5 linked regions of the Oryzias latipes genome follow. The protein of the gene in region 2 purifies or fractionates together with the protein of the main gene of each other region. This does not show direct contact. Links are inferred from orthologs where the notes say so. Each region holds a gene or a part of one and is shown on either strand. Other genes may lie near its edges.

The links.
Region 1: the proteins of vcp (region 2) and g3bp1 purify together in Homo sapiens (affinity purification with mass spectrometry; 3 studies listed by BioGRID, with this or other methods). This does not show direct contact. The link is inferred for Oryzias latipes from reciprocal best matches to the Homo sapiens genes VCP and G3BP1.
Region 3: the proteins of vcp (region 2) and ppp1r7 purify together in Homo sapiens (affinity purification with mass spectrometry; 3 studies listed by BioGRID and IntAct, with this or other methods). This does not show direct contact. The link is inferred for Oryzias latipes from reciprocal best matches to the Homo sapiens genes VCP and PPP1R7.
Region 4: the proteins of vcp (region 2) and ubac2 purify together in Homo sapiens (affinity purification with mass spectrometry; 3 studies listed by BioGRID and IntAct, with this or other methods). This does not show direct contact. The link is inferred for Oryzias latipes from reciprocal best matches to the Homo sapiens genes VCP and UBAC2.
Region 5: the proteins of vcp (region 2) and actb purify together in Homo sapiens (affinity purification with mass spectrometry, with the first as the bait; 3 studies listed by BioGRID). This does not show direct contact. The link is inferred for Oryzias latipes from reciprocal best matches to the Homo sapiens genes VCP and ACTB.

The regions. Positions count from the first base shown.
Region 1 is NC_019868.2:28,987,195-28,991,437, reverse strand, and holds the start of g3bp1 (ras GTPase-activating protein-binding protein 1), read right to left. Parts: upstream 2,801-4,243; 5' UTR 2,674-2,800; intron 1-2,673. UniProt on the Homo sapiens protein: Protein involved in various processes, such as stress granule formation and innate immunity. Plays an essential role in stress granule formation.
Region 2 is NC_019867.2:13,580,810-13,583,420, reverse strand, and holds part of vcp (transitional endoplasmic reticulum ATPase), read right to left. Parts: intron 2,479-2,611; coding exon 2,376-2,478; intron 2,228-2,375; coding exon 2,094-2,227; intron 1,902-2,093; coding exon 1,766-1,901; intron 706-1,765; coding exon 593-705; intron 391-592; coding exon 226-390; intron 123-225; coding exon 1-122. UniProt on the Homo sapiens protein: Necessary for the fragmentation of Golgi stacks during mitosis and for their reassembly after mitosis. Involved in the formation of the transitional endoplasmic reticulum (tER).
Region 3 is NC_019875.2:24,805,739-24,809,833, reverse strand, and holds the start of ppp1r7 (protein phosphatase 1 regulatory subunit 7), read right to left. Parts: upstream 2,801-4,095; 5' UTR 2,724-2,800; coding exon 2,684-2,723; intron 1,967-2,683; coding exon 1,868-1,966; intron 999-1,867; coding exon 943-998; intron 726-942; coding exon 660-725; intron 507-659; coding exon 376-506; intron 283-375; coding exon 120-282; intron 47-119; coding exon 1-46. UniProt on the Homo sapiens protein: Regulatory subunit of protein phosphatase 1.
Region 4 is NC_019873.2:18,567,780-18,572,007, forward strand, and holds the start of ubac2 (ubiquitin-associated domain-containing protein 2), read right to left. Parts: upstream 2,801-4,228; 5' UTR 2,647-2,800; coding exon 2,616-2,646; intron 2,282-2,615; coding exon 2,157-2,281; intron 761-2,156; coding exon 641-760; intron 274-640; coding exon 167-273; intron 1-166. UniProt on the Homo sapiens protein: Restricts trafficking of FAF2 from the endoplasmic reticulum to lipid droplets.
Region 5 is NC_019866.2:19,166,908-19,170,875, reverse strand, and holds the start of actb (actin, cytoplasmic 1), read right to left. Parts: upstream 2,801-3,968; 5' UTR 2,732-2,800; intron 1,596-2,731; 5' UTR 1,589-1,595; coding exon 1,466-1,588; intron 1,374-1,465; coding exon 1,134-1,373; intron 807-1,133; coding exon 368-806; intron 297-367; coding exon 115-296; intron 32-114; coding exon 1-31. UniProt on the Homo sapiens protein: Actin is a highly conserved protein that polymerizes to produce filaments that form cross-linked networks in the cytoplasm of cells.

The DNA.
Region 1 (4,243 bases), on a different chromosome or scaffold from region 2:
AGCGTCTGAGCTGCGGTGGTTATCCAGGCGGGGGGGAGCCCCACAGCCCTCCCCAGCGACCAATGAACCTCTAAAAAGAATCTCATGGTTCACAGCTGATGTCTGCCACGCCCACAAGAACCAACGGCAGCATGGGGGCAACAAGCGTTGGGTGGACAAAGCGAGCGTGAAATGGAAAGTTAAACAACTGCTGCAAAATGACTCATCTTTAGCTAATGTTTCTGTTGCTCTGGCGACAACTTACAAAACCCTAATCAACCAAATGTGGGGAAACTTCTGAAAAAAGGTGCAACACGAGCTTCCCACTCAAATGTAGTAGAGAATTTCAAACAAACCTTTATTAGCAAAGGTAGCAGAACAAAAGAATTTCATCGCTGACGTTCATCCAGAGTGATCAATGTCACACCAACCGAAACCTGTGACTGAGTGAGCGACGGTTCTGAAGTCACTTCGGATCCAGGAAACGGCTCCAGGTCCACAACACGAGGGGGAAACCCCCCCCCAGATGTTTCAGATTGTGTATTTGGACGCCATGGCAACCGTTGAATAGAAAATAAGAAAAATGTTTAAGTATTGCAGATGAGGCATTTATTCTTGTTTACGCGAGCATTAGCCATGATTTCCCAGGAAGGGGACGAGTGCAGTAACAATGCCCCCCCCCCCCCCCCCCCCCGTCTGATGTGGAATGAGGTTAGAGACCATCCTCCAGCATCATGCAACCAGCAGCCGCAGTCTGAATCAGCAAATTTCAACACCAAAGAGAGAAATCCTCCTCTGTAGAAAAAGCCTATAAATGTAATACATGTGTACCAGATAGCAGAAATGTGTCGTTATTTTCTCACTAAAAGAAAAGTGTCACCAGAATTTCTACATGTTATGGAGGATGGACCAGGATCTTTCAAATGGGATCCCAAAACCACAAACCAAAGAAGCCTGCTTTCATGGGTGGGGGCGTGGCCTTCCAACAAGCTCACTCCTGATTGGAGTCAGACTGCAGGCCTTAAGGGCCGTTATCCAGCAGGTTTTTCAGAAATCAGGTGTGTTTAGCCAATAAGGAGCTTCAATTTCAAGTTGATGGGAAGACATGTGGGACACAGGCCAACGAGGCCTGGAGTCTGACACTTAGAGTGGTTGCCATAGAAACACCGATCAATTCAGATCAACTCTACGTCTGCCTCCAACATGGCGCCGTCCGTTTCACAAAAAGACAACAAGAAGGCGACTGGAATTCCTTCAATGGGTTTGAGCCAGAAGTGAACCTTCCTGCCTCTCCATAATCAGAGGACGATCAGTTTGCATTTACACTGAAGTGAACCACACCAGAGTTCATCTGCAAGTGGATTAGATCATCTTGCCCTGATGAAACCGGATTCTCTAATTGAACAGTTCTTTGGGTTTAATACATCCCCACTTGAACCTGGAAGCGCTTTCACGATTCTACAGGGTTTGACCCCCCCGGCAGTGACGGGTTCTTCCGGGTTTCCAGGATATTCCTGATGTTTTGCACATGGCCATGATCCTGGATCAGGAGGGATCAGCCAATCAGAAGATGTTGATCTTCTATTCTGTCAAGTGGGTTTCACGGACAAACCAGGAGGGACGGTTCAGGGAGCAGACGTGCCGCCACAGACGCACATTCTTCTCTTCCCACTTCAGTTCAGCACCATAAAGCGGATCTGGGTTCAAATACACCAGAGGTTCTGCTGACAGAACCGGAAACTGTTGGCTTGGAGGACCTGGAAGGGAAAGGTGAAGCTCTGAGCCCAGAAGGCCACGAGCCACTTTGACATCTGTTCTCACGGCCAACAGCCATCTGCCATTTTTAACACGGAACGGCCCGGGAGCTCCCGCAGTCACGCGGGTCTGATCCGCGAGGGGCCTAACATAGACGGGACCAATCATTTAACGTGCTTCCGCAGAAGTGCGTGGAGATCTGCACGCGCGGCCCGCAGACAAAGACCACGCCGCGGGAACGGCGACGGAAACGGCCGACCCGCGCGCTCTCTTTCCGGGACCGCGCTGACACGCGCCCCCGAGGCCTTGACAAATTTAACCGGGATTCACGTGTCGTGCGCTGTCCTGGTCCATTCCGATCTAATCCGGGACAGCTGGACGGGCCCACCAACCCCAAAAGACGAATTCTGACGGGGGGGGGGGGGGGGGGGGGGGGCGCTCAGCAGCCCCAGCACGTGTCCCGGGCGGTGCTCGTCCACGCTCCGATCCCGACGCCGAGGCCACAAAATGACGCTTTTAACATCCAAAGACGCGTAGAAACGAAGCTAACTCTGTTTAGGGAAAAGGTGAATTTACCCCACGAAAAATAAGGAAAGAAAGCTGGAAAAACCAGAGGGGGGGGGGGGTGTGCTAACGAGGGCTGCGGCTAATTCCTGCAGCTCAGAGTAAAACCAAGCCGTCGTGGGTGATTTGTAACAGCAACAATTTCATACATATGTCGGAAAAAACCCATTCCGGACTTCTGATCGCGATTAAAAAGCAAGTATAAACGTTTAAATCGGATTTCAGCGCGTCCGTCTATAGACCGCGCGACAATGTCAAAGGAAGCTAACATCAGGATGTAGATGGAGCCCGGATGAGCCACCACGTTAATCCTATTTTCATTCTAGTTTCACTTTCTGCCTGGATTCAAACAGTAGGTTTGACATTAAAACTTACCAATGAGTCAATAGTTTTTGGAAAATGTATAAATATATTTTTTAATCTATGGACTTCGACGAGGCGCTGGCGCGGCTTCGCGGCGTGCTGTAGAGCCCGGGTACCGGTTTCACCTCCGCAGCCAAATCTGACGTCCCTCCGTATAAAGAAGCTTCAGCCAATGAAATGACGCATCCACGACCCGCTGACCAATGGGGTGAGAGAATGGCAAGCCTCCCGCGCATCCAGCCAATCGCGAAGCTCCCTCTATTCCAAGGGAGCCAACCACCGCGCGGCGGTGGCAGAGGGTGCGATGGTTATACCGACAGGCGTATCCCGGCAGATTCTCTACACAGATGTGCACCAGCGGCTGTCCACCGCGTGGAGGCGACAAATGCGTTCAGAATCAGTGATTTTAGGTCGCCGTGAATTTTTCATCCAGAATTATCCACCGTCATCAATCAAAGGGGTTCGAATGCGAGAGTGCTTTAGCTTTAAAATAAGCAGGTGGGTAAATGTAACGCCATTGAGACTGAAATGACTGCAGACAGTCAGAGCAGACTGGAAAAATGTCTGCTCCTGTAGTGCACTAAAGAAAAACGTGTAGTGCACTAAAGAAAAAGAAAAGTTCATCTTTTTAGTCATCTTTTAAAAAGACAAACTAAACACATAGAGCTACTGATCCCATGACTAAACTGCTGCAGATGTTTGAGCCTCAAACCACAATATGGCTGTCATGATGTCAGCACAGAGACATCAGCTTAAAAAAAAAAAAGAGCTGATATTAAATTACAGATGTCTTCCGTTGTTTCCTCTGTCAGAGTCAGGGGGAGTTTTTCCTGCTGGGGCACGCTGGGTTCACGCCGCTGTGCATTCTTGCTGCTGAGGGCTGGATGAGCAGGTACAGATGGTAACTGGGTGCTGCGTCTCTCCCTCTGCCGTCTCCCAGGGGACCACGAGCAGCTGTGAGCGGTCGCTGCCGGATGCCGTTTGCTCTGAGAGGACTGCATGTTCGGCACAGGTTTGCTGCAGCCCTAAAAGGTTACTTTTCCCACTGTTTGGAAGACGTTTTAAACATTTATACTCTTCAAATGATGGGGGAAAAACACACATGGGGTTTATTTGTGAAAACGAATAAAACCTGGAGTGTTGGGTCTTGAATGGGGGAAGGAATGCCGGAGCTCCTAACATTGAAGGTTAGACTGGTTGAGATGTTGCACAGCTCCTACAGACAGCAAACAGAATCAGGCAGCACTCAGACGCAGATGATGGATGTGGTGGCTTTGGCTTAAATGCTGAACCGTCTGCAGATAATTGAAGCTGGTGGTAAATTTAAAAAAAGAGGCTGGGAAATGTGCAAACAACGGTTTCAGTTTAACAGATAAGATGGAGGCTGACAGACACGATGTTCAGTTAACTGGATGTTCTTTCGTCTGAGTTTTAAATGGGTCACGATCCATCATGTGTGTTGAGTTCTGTCAGGAAACGAGATCCCGGGGGAAATCCTGAGACGCTTAGCAGCAGCTGCTGCAGGTAAACATGGAGACATTGGTTCCTGAAGGAAGGTTCTGCAGACCGACGGACGGAGCTG
Region 2 (2,611 bases):
TGGACCAACTCCTGCAGCTCTCTCTTAACATCTTCCAGACCTCCAATATCATCCCAGGTGATGTTGGGAACTTCAACAATCGTCTCCCTCAGTGCTGATGGGTTACTCTGGCTCAGAGCCCACTGCAAGACAGCACTGATCGGGTTAGCATTGATCCAGCCCAGTGCTAGCTGTGTGTACTAATGGACTACTATATGATTTCAAACGATTCCATTACAGGTTTACCTTGAAGTCATCCATGGTAACAGCAAGTGAGTTCATGACTTCAGCATCGATGGTCTCGTCCTCAAGGTCGATCAGGTCCATCTTCTTTCTAATGGCCTGGAGAGCAGCCTCAGAGCAGAGAGCAGCCAGATCTGCACCTACATGACCATGGGTCTCATTGGCAACCTGCAAAAGACAATCAAATTCACTGTAGAAACCAAAGTTACACCACTATGTAAAAAAAACCTGCGATAATGATTAATTACATTTTAACTTAAAATATTCACAAACTAATAGAAAAAAGAAATTTATCATTTATCAAGAAAAAGGCATCTACTTGAACATGTTGTATTTTGGACAAAAATAAAGGACTTTTGAAGGCACAAACCTGTTCCAAGTCCACATCATCAGCCAGTTTCATGTTCTTGGTGTGAATCTGCAGAATCTCCAATCTGCCGGTTGCATCAGGGATGCCAATATCCACTTCTCTGTCAAAACGGCCTACAATGGAAAGGTGTGAAAATAAAATTGGATCAATGAAAATGAAGAAGTTTACCATCTATCTAAAAACCTAAAATTTATAAGATCATCAACTTAAAAACTTCTAACTTAATTCATTAAATTTGTTGAATTTCTTTACCAGGCAAAACATTGACCTCCATTTTAAAAATTGGAATTCTCTTTTTTTTCTTTAAATCAGAATATGAAAAGTTATTTAATTGAAAATTTATAAATTTGAATTGAATCAAAATATATTTATTTGAATTGAAATAGACTTTTTCATCCTTACTGGGATGACAATAGTTTCTAAAGTGCCAGCAAGAAATTTTGTTTCAACATGTTAGCAGCTTAACTTGCAATGCATTTTCAAACAAAATGAACAAGCCACAGGATTTCTTAAGAAAACCTGGTTTGGAAAAACAATTTGTTTCATTAACAAGAAAAAGTTTCTTATTAAAATGAAACTTAAAAAAACCCAAACATTTAGGAATAGAGTGCAACTTAAATTCTATGGTTGAAAGTAGGTCTGATGTTCAAAAGTCTTAACTGCACAGGATCATTTTAAGTCAACATTAGGGCTGCACGATATGAAGAAAACTCGCGATATGCGATATCAGTGATTAATATTGCGATAACGATATAATTTGCGGTATATAAACAATTAGCAAAACAACCAAAAATATTATTCCCATTCCATTACAACAGCTTAAAAATTATACTACAAATGACCCTTGTTGACATAGGAGGCGAACATACAACATAATAGGGCGCAATCCGATTAGTTAACAACGTGAAGGGGTCCACCTGATTGCTCAAATGCAGAAAGGGATACTTTCAATCCATTAAACACTTCAAGTTGCCATAAGATTGTTTGGCCACATCTAAGGTAACCATTTATTGCAAATTTGCTGTCTTTTGCGATATGCATATTGCACAGCTTGATATTGCGATAACAATAAATTTGCGGTATATTGTGCAGGCCTAGTCGACATTCAAATAATAAAAGGCTGCGGGGTGAAATCTAAAACGAGCGACCTAAGGGCTTCTAAAGACTGTTTACCAAATCTCCTGAGAGCCGGATCGATGCTGTTGGGTCTGTTGGTGGCAGCCATGACAATCACATGAGCTCTCTGTTTCAGACCATCCATAAGAGTCAGCAGCTGTGACACAATGCGCCTCTCCACCTCCCCATGAGTCTGAAAAAGCAGAGTGCCATTAGTAAAATGTGTCTATATTTTTTTTGTCTCAGCTAATCTAAAGCACATAGCCAATACAGTCACTAGTACATGAATTTAAAAGAGAAGATACACAAAGAATTGCTGTGCTTTCAAGGGCCTGAACCTAAAACTCATAGTGCACCGACAAAGTTACCACCCTACATTACTCACCTTCTCTCTCTTTGGAGCGATTGCATCAAGTTCATCAATAAAAATGATGGCAGGAGCATTTTTCTCAGCTTCTTCAAAGGCCTTTCTCAGGTTACTCTCACTCTCTCCAGCCAACTTACTCATGATCTCCGGGCCTGAAATAGAGAGAACGATACTTTAACAAGAAAATATCATTGAACACAACGATTCAGATAAATACAAGCATAGCCAATCAGAACACTGACTTTCAGCATCATCTCACCCATACTAGAAAACTTTACATCCAAACGGATATATTCATACCATTAATAAGAAAGAAGAACGCTCCAGTTTCATTGGCCACAGCCCTGGCGATTAAAGTTTTTCCAGTTCCAGGGGGTCCATAAAGCAGGATTCCACGAGGGGGCTTATTTAAAACGAAAACAAAAAATGTGGGGTGAGAGCTTTATTTAAAAAAAATTTTTTTTTAATTTTAAGTGTACAATCCCATTTATCACACACAAAACCACTTGTGTGATTCAGTACCATATTTTCCCTTC
Region 3 (4,095 bases), on a different chromosome or scaffold from region 2:
GAAACAAACTCGTCAAAGATGTGAGGCCGTCCAGGTTCTCAATGACCTGTGAAGAAAGTCAAATGGCATAAATGTGTGAGAAAGGAACCTCAGAGCTGCAAAGATCCATCCCTTCATACCCGAATGCGATTAGAGCCCAGCTCCAGCATCTCCAGGAAGCTGAAGTGCTCCAGGTTGGCAATGCCGGTGATTTTGTTGTGAACCAGAAACAGTTTTTTCAGCTGAGTCAATCGCTCCAGATTCTCAATCTTCCTCAAAATGTTGAACGACACATCAAGCTGCCTGTGGGTTCATTCAAGAAAGTATCTTCAGAATTAAATGAATAAAAAAAAAAAAAAATCGGTATGCAGGACATTTGGTTTTTTCCTAACTTACTCTAACTCTGTGAGGTTGTCCAGGTTCTCCAGTTTTCGGATCTGATTGTCGTAGAGATCTAGTTCTCGCAGTGAGCTCAAGCTCTCAAGGTTTTCTATCTTTTTGATTAAGTTCTGTCGTAAGGAGAGCGTCTGAGAAATCAGAAGAATGGGGGGGGGGAAAGGAAATAAGCCAAACAGAAAGGGAAACATGTATCCTTACTTGTAAATGCTATTTTATTTGACTAAAATGTATGTGCAGTAAAAAGCTAAATGTGTCATTAGAAGTGAACTGGAAAGACTTACTTTAGCTTTCTGTAAAACCTCAAGTCCTTCAATCTTTCCAATGCGACAATGAACAAGATCAACGTCCTGAAGGGAAAAAAAACAACAACTGACTACAGCTTTTGTCCTCCATGTCAAAACACAAATAAAAACACCTTCTCTTTTTCTATTTAGTGTAGAAAGCTAAAAACATGTGGTAGTTTTTACATCTATGATCACATCAAATGATTCCAGAAAAGATGACTGAAGAAGCTTGCCTTTTTATTATATATATATATTTTTTTTAAAGAATAAGGCTTCTTACCTCTTCTTCTGGGTCCAAGGTTATGGTGTCCATGTCAACCGGTGACTCTTCTTTACCTTTACAGAAAACACATAGATCTTAAAAAAATAAAATAAACTTACTGCCTAAACCCAAAACATTTTCCATTATTAGCATCTAAAGAAAAGCAAATCTAAACAAATGACCTCAGCTGATAAAGGGCTCTTAAAGTTCCACTCCAATCAACTTTTGATCCAAAGGGTCTTTATTTATGATTATGCCGTTTTTAGGCTAAATCAAAAACCTGTCGTTTTTTTTTAGGACAGTTTCTGCAGAGCAGCAGGAGTTCATCAGAAATTTGCCTTTTGCAAAATTATGATCCCCTGTTATAGCGTGGGCGAGCCTGGACTCATTTCCCATCATCCCTTTCTTTGCATTCTTCCCCCCACTAGCTTAAAGCTCCTCACAACCCCAACCTAACATTGGGCACATAAACAAAACATATGATGTCTATTAGACGGACACATTGTGGATTTTCAACTTATAATTGCAGGTCATCCTAAGGTTTTCATGAGCAGATGAGGTTAGAGCTCAGCCTGGTTGTAGAAATATTAGAATAAAAATCATGGAAAAGATTTGAATAAAGATCACCCATGTTTTTTTTTCTTCATATTTTTTTTTAATACATGACAAAACAAAAGTTTTTAATGGAATGCAATACGCTTCCTTTTTTATGATTCACAGTGATTTGAAAAAAGAAATACTCCAAAATGTAATTTTACATTCTGATCATTTGGTTCTTCATTAGAATTACTAAAATCATTTTGTGTTTAAATATGAAGCCTCACCAGGTACCCCTGTTTAATACCTACTCATCTAAACAGACAGATATGTATATGCATACATTGTTAAATCCGTGTGGCATGCTTCTGAATGTCAGACTGTGTGAAGTGTGTCTGCTGCTCACTTGTTGTTGTGGAGGGCTGGTTGGGGTCCACATCGCCATTAATACTCTTCCTCCTGCTTTCATCATCCCCGGACTCTTCAGAATCACCCCTTCGGTCAACTACAGCAGACCAAAACAACAACAACAAAAACGCTTTATTAATCCTAAAGACATTTATTTCTGTTATGTGGGACTGACATTCACATAACATTCTTCTTTCTCTTATCTTATTGACACAAAGGCTTGTTTCTCGATTGTCCAGGAGCATATAACGAGTTTCTGGCCATCTTCGTTAATAAAAGGTTAGAGTATGTCGTGCATTTGGGAGGAAAAGGTGATCAAATGAGTTCAAATGTGTACACTCAATTACCAGCGATAACTCCAAAAAACACCCAAAAGCTTAGGAGTCTGCAAAACAAAGATATCTTTGGCGTCTTTCATGTTTTACAAGCACTAATTTTAAAATACTGCTCATTTAAAGCTCAACATGCTAGTTTAGCTAACAAACAATCCCAAGAAAAATTCAAAGCTAATATGTCTAACGTAAACGTGACGATTTTAATTTCCATATAAAAATATTCAACTTAAAAAAACATGTTTGTTGAAAAACTTGGGGGGAAATTATGTCGCTAAATACAATACGTGGATGTTGACGAAAGCTAACGTCTAAGTTAGCTTGTTAGCCAAACAGACATGGTGGGGTAAAGGTATTCTAGAACGACGAAAATACAGCCACGCCAGTATTTTACACGGTCCTTTAAACAAATGCTTATTTACAGGGCCCACACAATCATAAACGATACAACAAAAACAAAAATTTTAAATATGTATACTCACCTTCCATTTCTTGAAGCTCTCCAACAGACTGAGAAGCCATGTTTAGTGTAAACGCACCCTGACAAGCGCACAACCGATCAAGTGGAGCGCAGTACCGCGGCTGCACACTAGAGGGCGGTAAAGCCAAACACAGGAAATTTCCAGTCTTGCTGTGGTTACTTCAAGGAAAGTGCATATTATTATTATTATTATTATTATTATTATTATTATTATTATTATTATTATTATTATTATTATTATTATTATTATTATTATTATTATTATTATTATTATTATTATTATTGATAATGATGATAATGATGATAATAATAATGATAATAATAATAATATATCCAATACAAGCTTGCTTCTTCCCACTCCCTTTTCAAGCAATAAATCAAACTCTACTTACTTCAGTTAATGATCACTGTATTTAATTAAGCAAATGTGATTTAAGTGACATTTTTGTTTTGTTTTCTGTCTTTGTAATCTATGCATTTCATCATTTCTGTAATGAGTTTGATAAATATGTGTAAATTATTTATTGCTTTGACTACAATCCTTGAAATAAATCAATAAAATCAAATCAAAAATCAATCTCCTCAGGTTAGTTTTTGCTTCTCTGAACTCAAAAACCAGAGCTTTGTTCCAGGATAATTTGGTTTCCGTTCCATCGGCTAACTTTTATTTGGCTAATATTATATCTAACATTAAATGGAAAAAAAGTCTGGTCTTTACCACAAAAATTCACCTTAACAAACAAGGTCAAATAAATCCCTTTCAAACTAACGCACAAATTTTACCCAGCAAAACATGATCTAAATTTAAAGTTGACTTTTTTATCCCTTTTGTGAATGTTTTATTTGGTTATTCCTTATCACCAGTTTGTTTTAAAAAAAATTATAATACTTATATTTCTGTTCTAAATAGTTAAGAATTTCGAAAGTTAAAACAATGTTGAATTGTATTCTGGACTTTGTTTTATGCTTGTATTGCATTGTTATAAACTTTCTACAAATGTAAAAAAAAAAAGACTTCAAATGTACAATAATTTAGTATAACTTTTTTTATTTTTTTTGGCATTTCATTTACTATGGGTTACAATCGCTTTGTCCTATTTTCCCTATGCCTATTGGGAGAATAAACCTCTTTGAATGCAAAAGTTGTGCCTTCTTTATTTTTAATGGAATAGAAGACATTTTTCATAAACATCCTCTGGTAATAATTGTGACACTGGAGAGAACTGTCAACACTTGACACAATGTCTGACTGGATTCAAAGATTTGGATTAAACAAATATTTTGATTATTAATGTAATTTGAAAGATGGATTAGCTATTTTGAGGATTATTTCAACTTTTCACATATCTGCAATCTGTGTAAACTTTTTTCTGATATGATTTGCTGATGTAAAAACAGAAAATGGGAGCACAA
Region 4 (4,228 bases), on a different chromosome or scaffold from region 2:
AAGGAAAAGATTATTTGAAACAGCAGTCTTTTTTTAACTGACGCACAATTTGATCGTGCCTTTAAACTCTGCAATGCTCAAAACTTATTAGCAAAAGTGTGATTGTCAATAAAAACCTCTGCTTTTCAGAGATGTGACACATGGATTAGAATTGTAATGAACTCACAGTCCAGCAGGAAGTTCTTCCACTTCATAGTCAAACAGATGCTGAAAAGCCTGAACCAACACAAAGTCTGTGAGGGCAGAGAAACACCAAGTGCCCAATAGAAAGGACTGAAAACAAAAACAGCAAAGAGTCAGATGACAGGAGTAGTGAACAGCATCAAATACAATCATCTTCTTTTTTTTAAGGCAGGTTTGGAGATTTAACCGCAAATAAAGCTCAGACTCATCCTGCAAAACAGTTCTCAATAATAATTTCTCCGCACACTGACTGAATCTGTCATTTCTTTCCAGTTTTGTGCTCATCTTTAGGTGGTTTTTCGAAAGACTAAATCTGCAATGCTACCCAGAACCAAGAACTTGTATCTTTGTCCAGCACTAGAGTTCAAGACAAGGTTTCATCTCTGCCCCAAAAAAGAGAAACTATCCAAAGAGAGAAACTTTAGTGAGGAAGAGCATCCTCCACTTAAACACTCACGGCAAACTTCCTGGTGCCGAACCTCCTCTCAAAGATCCTAAAGTTGTAAATCAGCAGGCTACAGCAAAAGCAGTCCTTAACATCTAGACAGACAAGTCTTCCACACAACAACCTCCACACCTAGAAAACATGGAAAAAAATAAAATGTAAAAAAAAAAAACATTATGGAAAACATAAAGCATATACAGTTCAATTTTCAAAGCATTTGGATGTTTGTGTTCTTTATCATAGTGAACAGAACAAAAAGGTTGAACTAAATAAAGTTAGAAAATTGAAGTACAGATATATAAAAAAAACACCTGTTAAGTAACCAGAATTATCTCTAAAAATGTGGAATAAACCACAAACTAATTGGACCACAGAACACATTTCTCATATTTTTTCTATTACGCTGAGGTCAACATGGTTAACATGGGTTGTTGTGAAAACAAAAAAAATAAAAATAAAAAATACTAAATGAATAAAACTAAACTGTCAGAATCATTTATTGTCTTCACAATTGTTAAATGCAATGAGATTGGAGCAGCTGAAGACAAACAGAAGAGATCAATGTGCAAAAAGTGGTCATGGTGTAAATGAGGGCTGCACGATATGAGGAAAACTCGCGATACGCGATATTAATGATCAATTTTGCAAAGACAATATAACGTGCGATATATGACCATCCGATTGGTCAAATGCATAAAGGGATTTATTTGATTGGCAAAACACTTTGAGCTGGTATAAGATTCTTAAAGCACATTTAAAGTAACCGTTTATTGCTAATTTTTGCCGTCTTTTGTGATAACAATAAATTTGTTATTTATTGTGCAGGCCTAGTTTAAATCATTTGAAGAGGAAGAGGTACATTTTAATAAATAAAAAGAGTAAAGAGCAGTAACAAGTAGAAAGTCCAATTTCCAACAAGGGTATATGTACCTACGTCATAGAAAGTACATAGCTAACCACTTTAATTGTACACAAAACAAACTCATTTAAAAAAAGAAGGGATGCAACCATTGATATATGTATATACACAATATAATAATATATATCAATGGATCCAACTATTTTTTAATGAAACAAATCTCATTGCCGTGTTTGCAGTGTACAGAAATAAACATTTATATTTCTGTTTAGAGGAATATTTTGAAAAAAAAAAAAAACAATTTTTTTGGGTTCTTGTTTGTGCTGCACTATACTTCCAGTTATTCTGCAGTTTCTCAAAAACCAGCTTCTGAAAATGGCAAGTGGAGACATATGAGCTGTTAGCAGGCCATGGATTACCTAGAGTTCAGATGTTGCTGCACGAGTTTTGTTCAGCAAAAGTTGAGGGAAATAGATGCAACGACATCAAAACAATCCTTAAACCTTTTCAGGAGATTCTCACAAATAAGGTGTTTACCTCCCTTTCTTATATTTATTTCTGTTCTTTCTTATCTTTTTAGCTATTTTAACTTATGATTCCATGTTTTTATTTGTTTTTAGATGTTGTGTAAACAGTGCATTTGACAGTGTAGCTCCCAAACAAACATACCTGCTGCTGTTGTGTGAGAGCCTGCAGGTTGTAGATGAAGAGTTCTTGGTATTGAGGCAGAAGGATCAGCATCAGAGTCAGTCCATTGAGGACTAACAGAAGGCTTTTGGACAGAGGAGCCTTGTCTGCAAAAACACAATCGCTTTCGATTAAACCGTGATAAATGGGCTTGCCTAATGTTTGAGTTCATTCCGTTTCCTACAACTGTAGGTAGCACAGTTCACATTAGTGGAACTAATAATAGCCAAAATTCACATTATTGAAATAAAGAATTGAATTAAGAGGCAAATCATCATATATCAGATATTTTCTTTGTTTCGACTAAACACGACGGTTCTAGCTCGGGATATCACATTAAGTAAATTAACGACAACGCAATACTAAAGTAGGCTAGCTTAGCTTAGGTGCTGGAGGAACTGAAGGAAGCGTTCGAGTTAACTTGTCACCCGGTAAACTTACAGAGGCCCCGGGACCCGGTGGTGGTAAACATGGGGTCTATGTGGGCAAAGGAATCCAGAAAATAGCCGATAATCCAGTACCAAAACAAACTAATAATAAAACATTGACATAAAGTTTGTGAAAGAACCCATGCTGTCACTATGACGGGAAGGTGGCAGGGGAAGGAGGTAGCTACGGAAGCCTGACGTGAACAAAAAGTACCTTGTCAAAAAGCAGAAATACGTTTGCAAGGGAAATACCTGTAGATGGCGCCGTTGCTCCGTTCACCAAAGCACCTGTGTTAAATTAAATCTAAAAAATTACTTAAATTAAAATACATGTTTTTTAAACGTACAGAAGTATTTAAAGTTTAAATAAACTGACGAAAGACTCATCAAAAAAAGTTTTTCTTTTGTTTTCATGTTTGATCATAAAACCAATCAATCAAAATGTAACTTATAAACACAAAAAATAGATTTTTTTGTTTGAAAGAAAACAGTGTTAATAATAATAATAATAATAATAATAATAATAATAATAATAATAATAATAATAATAATAATAATAATAATAGGTGGAAGTTCTGGCTTGTTACTGAAGTGAGGGAACAATATTTTATAATGGGAAACTGTCCATAGGAGGGGCCATCCCACTCATGCTCTCAGAGGCTATCATCACAAGACCACCCAGATTACAAGGAGTTGGGGCCCACATGAGGCTGCAGTGCAGGATACCTTACCATACAGATTAGGGTGATCCCACAGCCCCGATCAAATGATCAACTCACATTCTAGCAACAAGTAATCAACAAATCAGAAATGAACCAGAAAGAAAACAAGTATGTATTAGCAAGTATTCTAATTTATGTAACATGGCCTTATTAGATTAATTAAAATATACATCACTATTATAGTCATGATCAATAGAAAAATTGTTGGTTTTGATCTGATTTGAAAGCCCAGAAATGTAAATAGAAAAAACATGTAAAAAAATGTTACATGAGATATCTTTAGATGGAGACACATCAAATGTATTACTCAACAATGTAAAAAAAAAGTTCTAAAATCAAGAACCAAGTCTTTAAATAAAAATATGTAGGAAGTTAGTTTTTACTTCTGTTTTCTTTTTCCTAAACTGCATTTCTGCTGCAATGGAAGCCGAACATTTCAATTTGTAATTTAACTAGTTATTCACCAACATGAGGTATGTATTCATTGGTTGCAATCCACTGATCTGACATCTACAACTTCCCTACAGCTAGGGATTTGTATCTTATTCAGCATTTTATGAAGGCAGATAAGGTACCCAGATTTCTCACTGAATGAAAGGTCATTTTACTAAATATCCAAATCGGTGTCTTTTATTAACCTAAGACAGAATTCCATGACCCTTAAAGTTAAGTCCTAATCATGTTCTATCTTGAGGCATATCATCAACAAGTATTTGCTCTGTGTGTAAAATTAATTTCATGTCAGCTATGCATCCAAGCAGCATGAGGAATGTTGCACGTCTCCAAGTTGTGTGAGTTGGTTTCTGACAAAGTGGTAACAGCATTTTAGTCTGTGAGCAGGATGTGGCTACACAAAGTCCAGATTAATTACTTTTTCTTATGGTCTTCTGGCTTTCTGCACACA
Region 5 (3,968 bases), on a different chromosome or scaffold from region 2:
CAGAGTATTTACGCTCTGGTGGGGCAATGATCTGTAGGGAGAGGAGGAGAGTTGAGAATGAGCCCCTTTTCCCCAAAGGAACAATCCAGACGGGAGACTCTTCAGAAAGCTCACCTTGATCTTCATGGTGGATGGGGCCAGGGCTGTGATCTCCTTCTGCATTCTGTCTGCGATTCCAGGGTACATGGTGGTACCTCCAGACAGCACAGTGTTGGCGTACAGATCCTTACGGATATCAACATCACACTTCATGATGCTGTTGTAGGTGGTCTCATGGATACCGCAGGACTCCATACCTGGAAGGAGATTAAATATTAGCATGGGGCACTCTGGGGTCTGTACACAAGTCTTTGGTTGAGGTACCTACCAAGGAAGGAAGGCTGGAAGAGGGCCTCTGGGCAACGGAACCTCTCATTGCCAATGGTGATGACCTGTCCGTCAGGCAGCTCATAGCTCTTCTCCAGGGAGGAAGAGGAGGCAGCGGTGCCCATCTCCTGCTCGAAGTCCAGGGCGACGTAGCACAGCTTCTCCTTGATGTCACGGACAATTTCCCTCTCGGCTGTGGTGGTGAAGGAGTAGCCACGCTCCGTCAGGATCTTCATGAGGTAGTCTGTAAGGTCGCGGCCGGCCAAGTCCAGACGCAGGATGGCGTGGGGCAGAGCGTAGCCCTCGTAGATGGGCACTGTGTGGGTCACACCATCACCAGAGTCCATGACGATACCAGTGGTACGACCAGAGGCATACAGGGACAGCACAGCCTGGATGGCAACGTACATGGCAGGGCTGTTGAAGGTCTCAAACATGATCTGCAGAGACAAAAAGCACAATGTTAGCATGTTACAAAGCAGCAATGCGACCACTCCACTCGCTACATGCATTAAAGTGGGGCTCGATCTATAGTTAGTACATGGTAAACATTCCTTCACACTTGTGCATGTCATTTTTAGGTGCTGATCTGTTACTCTAAGCCTCAAAACACAAGTGCAGATACAAGGCAAACTGTCAATAGACCTTTTGATGAAAGCTCATCTTATAGGAAGAAATCCTAGAAGAGGAGGATGGAGGAAGTATGAACAGAAGGAAACCAAGGTGAAAAGAGTATACATGTGCTCCACTGTGAGGTAAACGGGTACCTGGGTCATCTTCTCCCTGTTGGCTTTGGGGTTCAGGGGGGCTTCAGTGAGCAGGACAGGGTGCTCCTCAGGGGCAATTCTCAGCTCATTGTAGAAGGTGTGGTGCCAGATCTTCTCCATGTCATCCCAGTTGGTAACAATACCGTGCTCAATGGGATACTTCAGGGTCAGGATACCCCTCTTGCTCTGGGCTTCATCACCTACGTAGCTGTCTTTCTGGCCCATACCCACCATGACACCCTGAAAAAAAGTTTAAATTTACATTTAGTAAATCTGGAAACTTTTAAAATTAAATAGTAAAAAATTATAAAGGTAAACAGTTAGGAACTAACCTGGTGCCTGGGGCGACCAACGATGGAGGGAAAGACAGCACGAGGGGCATCGTCTCCAGCGAATCCGGCTTTGCACATGCCAGATCCGTTGTCAACAACCAGTGCGGCAATGTCATCATCCATGGCTAAACTGGAAAACAAACAAATAAGGCGTTAACACCAAAGACACGCCCATCTGCATCTGCTTTGCAGTCAGATGTCCCATTTCCTGTCAGGGAGCGGCAGTTCCCCAAAGTGTCCGCTTGGTGGAGGTAGAGCGCTACATTCCGAGCCCAGACAAAAGGAAGTGGTGCTGCATTCTCTTGTTACCATATAAGGACATAGTTCGGTTTTGAGCAGCTTTGCGGCTACCGGCAAGGCACGCGGCCAAAGTACAGCAAGAGGGGAGGGACTTTAGACTATCGGACCCGGCGACGAAAGCCTACTCCCACTGGTTCATTACAGCTCTACTTTGTCAGCGTTCCCTCCCATTGTTGCACAAGACTGAAAAATTTCTTAATCACTGCGTCATAATTTGTGCGAAGTCGTTGCTGGCATAAAGCACCACGACCCGTCAAGCTTTAGAAGGAAATTAAAACGTGTGCGAGCCCATGACTGATTAATCATTTCCTGAAAGCCACGCCTTTTCTTGAATGAATGATTTGTCATTTGCCCTTTTCTTCGCCGTCAAACTACAGTTACATGCTCAATTTAATCGAATACTTTTAAAATGCTTTAAGGGTTATTACATTTTATACAAACAAATGTATAACAGTCCCACCCCCCTACATGTGAGGAATCAGAGTCAAGTCTAGAAGGGCGTGTTAGCATGAAGCTAGGCTAATATGCTAAAGTAGGTCACACCCCGTAACGGCGCACAAAGGGACCCGCCAGGATCCAGACACCCTCAACTCGGACGGGTAACGTCCGTAGAAGGACTCGAAAAATTCCCCCCACCATGTAAGATACGAATAGTAATTTTTATTTAGTTGCTTATATAAAATATACAATTAAAACCAAACTGAAAAGCCATTTGCCGGTTACAATCAATTGGCACCTGTGCGTTTAAGTGGCTAATTTTGGTACAACTTGATTGATGCCAAAACAAACAAAATTGTCAATTTTAAAAAGATAATTAAAAGTTTAACCATTTCAGGCCTAAAAATAAATTTAGTGGCCACAAAATTCTGCTAATGGTCACCTCCAATTAAGAATTAAACTGCACAATTAAACAATCGTAAGGTTTCCAAAACATTTGAATTAAACCAAATATCGTCTCTATCTTACCTTTGGGTGGGGGGCTTTTCGTTTCAAGGGAATCGGTTTCAGGCGAATGATATCCCGCACAAGCTGTGTGTGACGGCGCTCAGAGTGAATTTGCTAGCCGTGGGCACGTGGTATTTATAGTCCGTCCGTTGCCCGGCTCTTTCCATAAAAGGTAAACTTTCGGAATCGCGGCATGTGATTGGTCCAGCGTCACTCACTGGGGCACGTCGGGTGCACGCTGTGGTGCACTGAGCGTAGAAAGAGGGAGGCGATAACAGTAACGGGCTGGGGGAAAATAAAAGGATAGGGATTGATGTGAGGCCTAATCTAAGGATATAATGTTTCTTGAACAAATATTAATACATATAGAGTTTACAAAGTTTCAAATATATATAAAATATGAACCTGTATAAAGCTTTCGAGCAAGTCCCCCTGCTTATCTGATCATTCAAACAGCAGAGCACAGGCTGCTCCTCCCTGTGAATACTTTTCCTCTTAAAACCTGTCTCTCAAGATTTCAGTCTGGAAATGCAAGATATGTTTGATGCAATTTGAGGACAATTACAATGTGGATGTTGCTGCACACTCTGGAAAGCAGAATGCCACCTCAGATGGAGTCAGAGACCCTCCAAGCCAAACACATGACTCACAAAAGACACTATGGACTGTAAAAGTGCCCTGTCAGAGGATGGACAATAACCACTTTTCCCACTAAGCAATGGTAAAAACTCAATCTCACTAATACCAATTGACCATGTATGGCATTAGTCTGGATTCTTGTTAACTTCTCAGAGCTCTTGCTACTTCCTCTTTCCCCTACAAATGAAGAAAAAAGGTCCACATAAGAGGACACTAAGGCTGACTTGCATCTACTTTTAGTCATAAATGACCTATTGAGTGAAAATAACCACTGTCAGACCCAACCCATACGCTACTATACATTCACCTTAATCGATTAAACTCAGAGAGAGACAAATAAAGTCACACATGCTCTTATTTCCTCTCTGTGGTTTACTGCAAAGGGTGTAACTTTCCTGACTTTGGGTTTTATAGGCTTAGGGTTCTTTGCTTTTACCTTACTTGTCTTCCATTCATTAGTTTCACAGTTTATTTAAACTTTTTTTGCTCCAGAAACATAGCTGCCCATACAAGTTAAATAACCCAGAGGCCATTTAAACATGTCACTGTCTGCGAGACACAAGCAGCAACTACTTTTCTTCCTCTTGTACCACTTCCTCTTCCTCGCTCTCAGTTACAC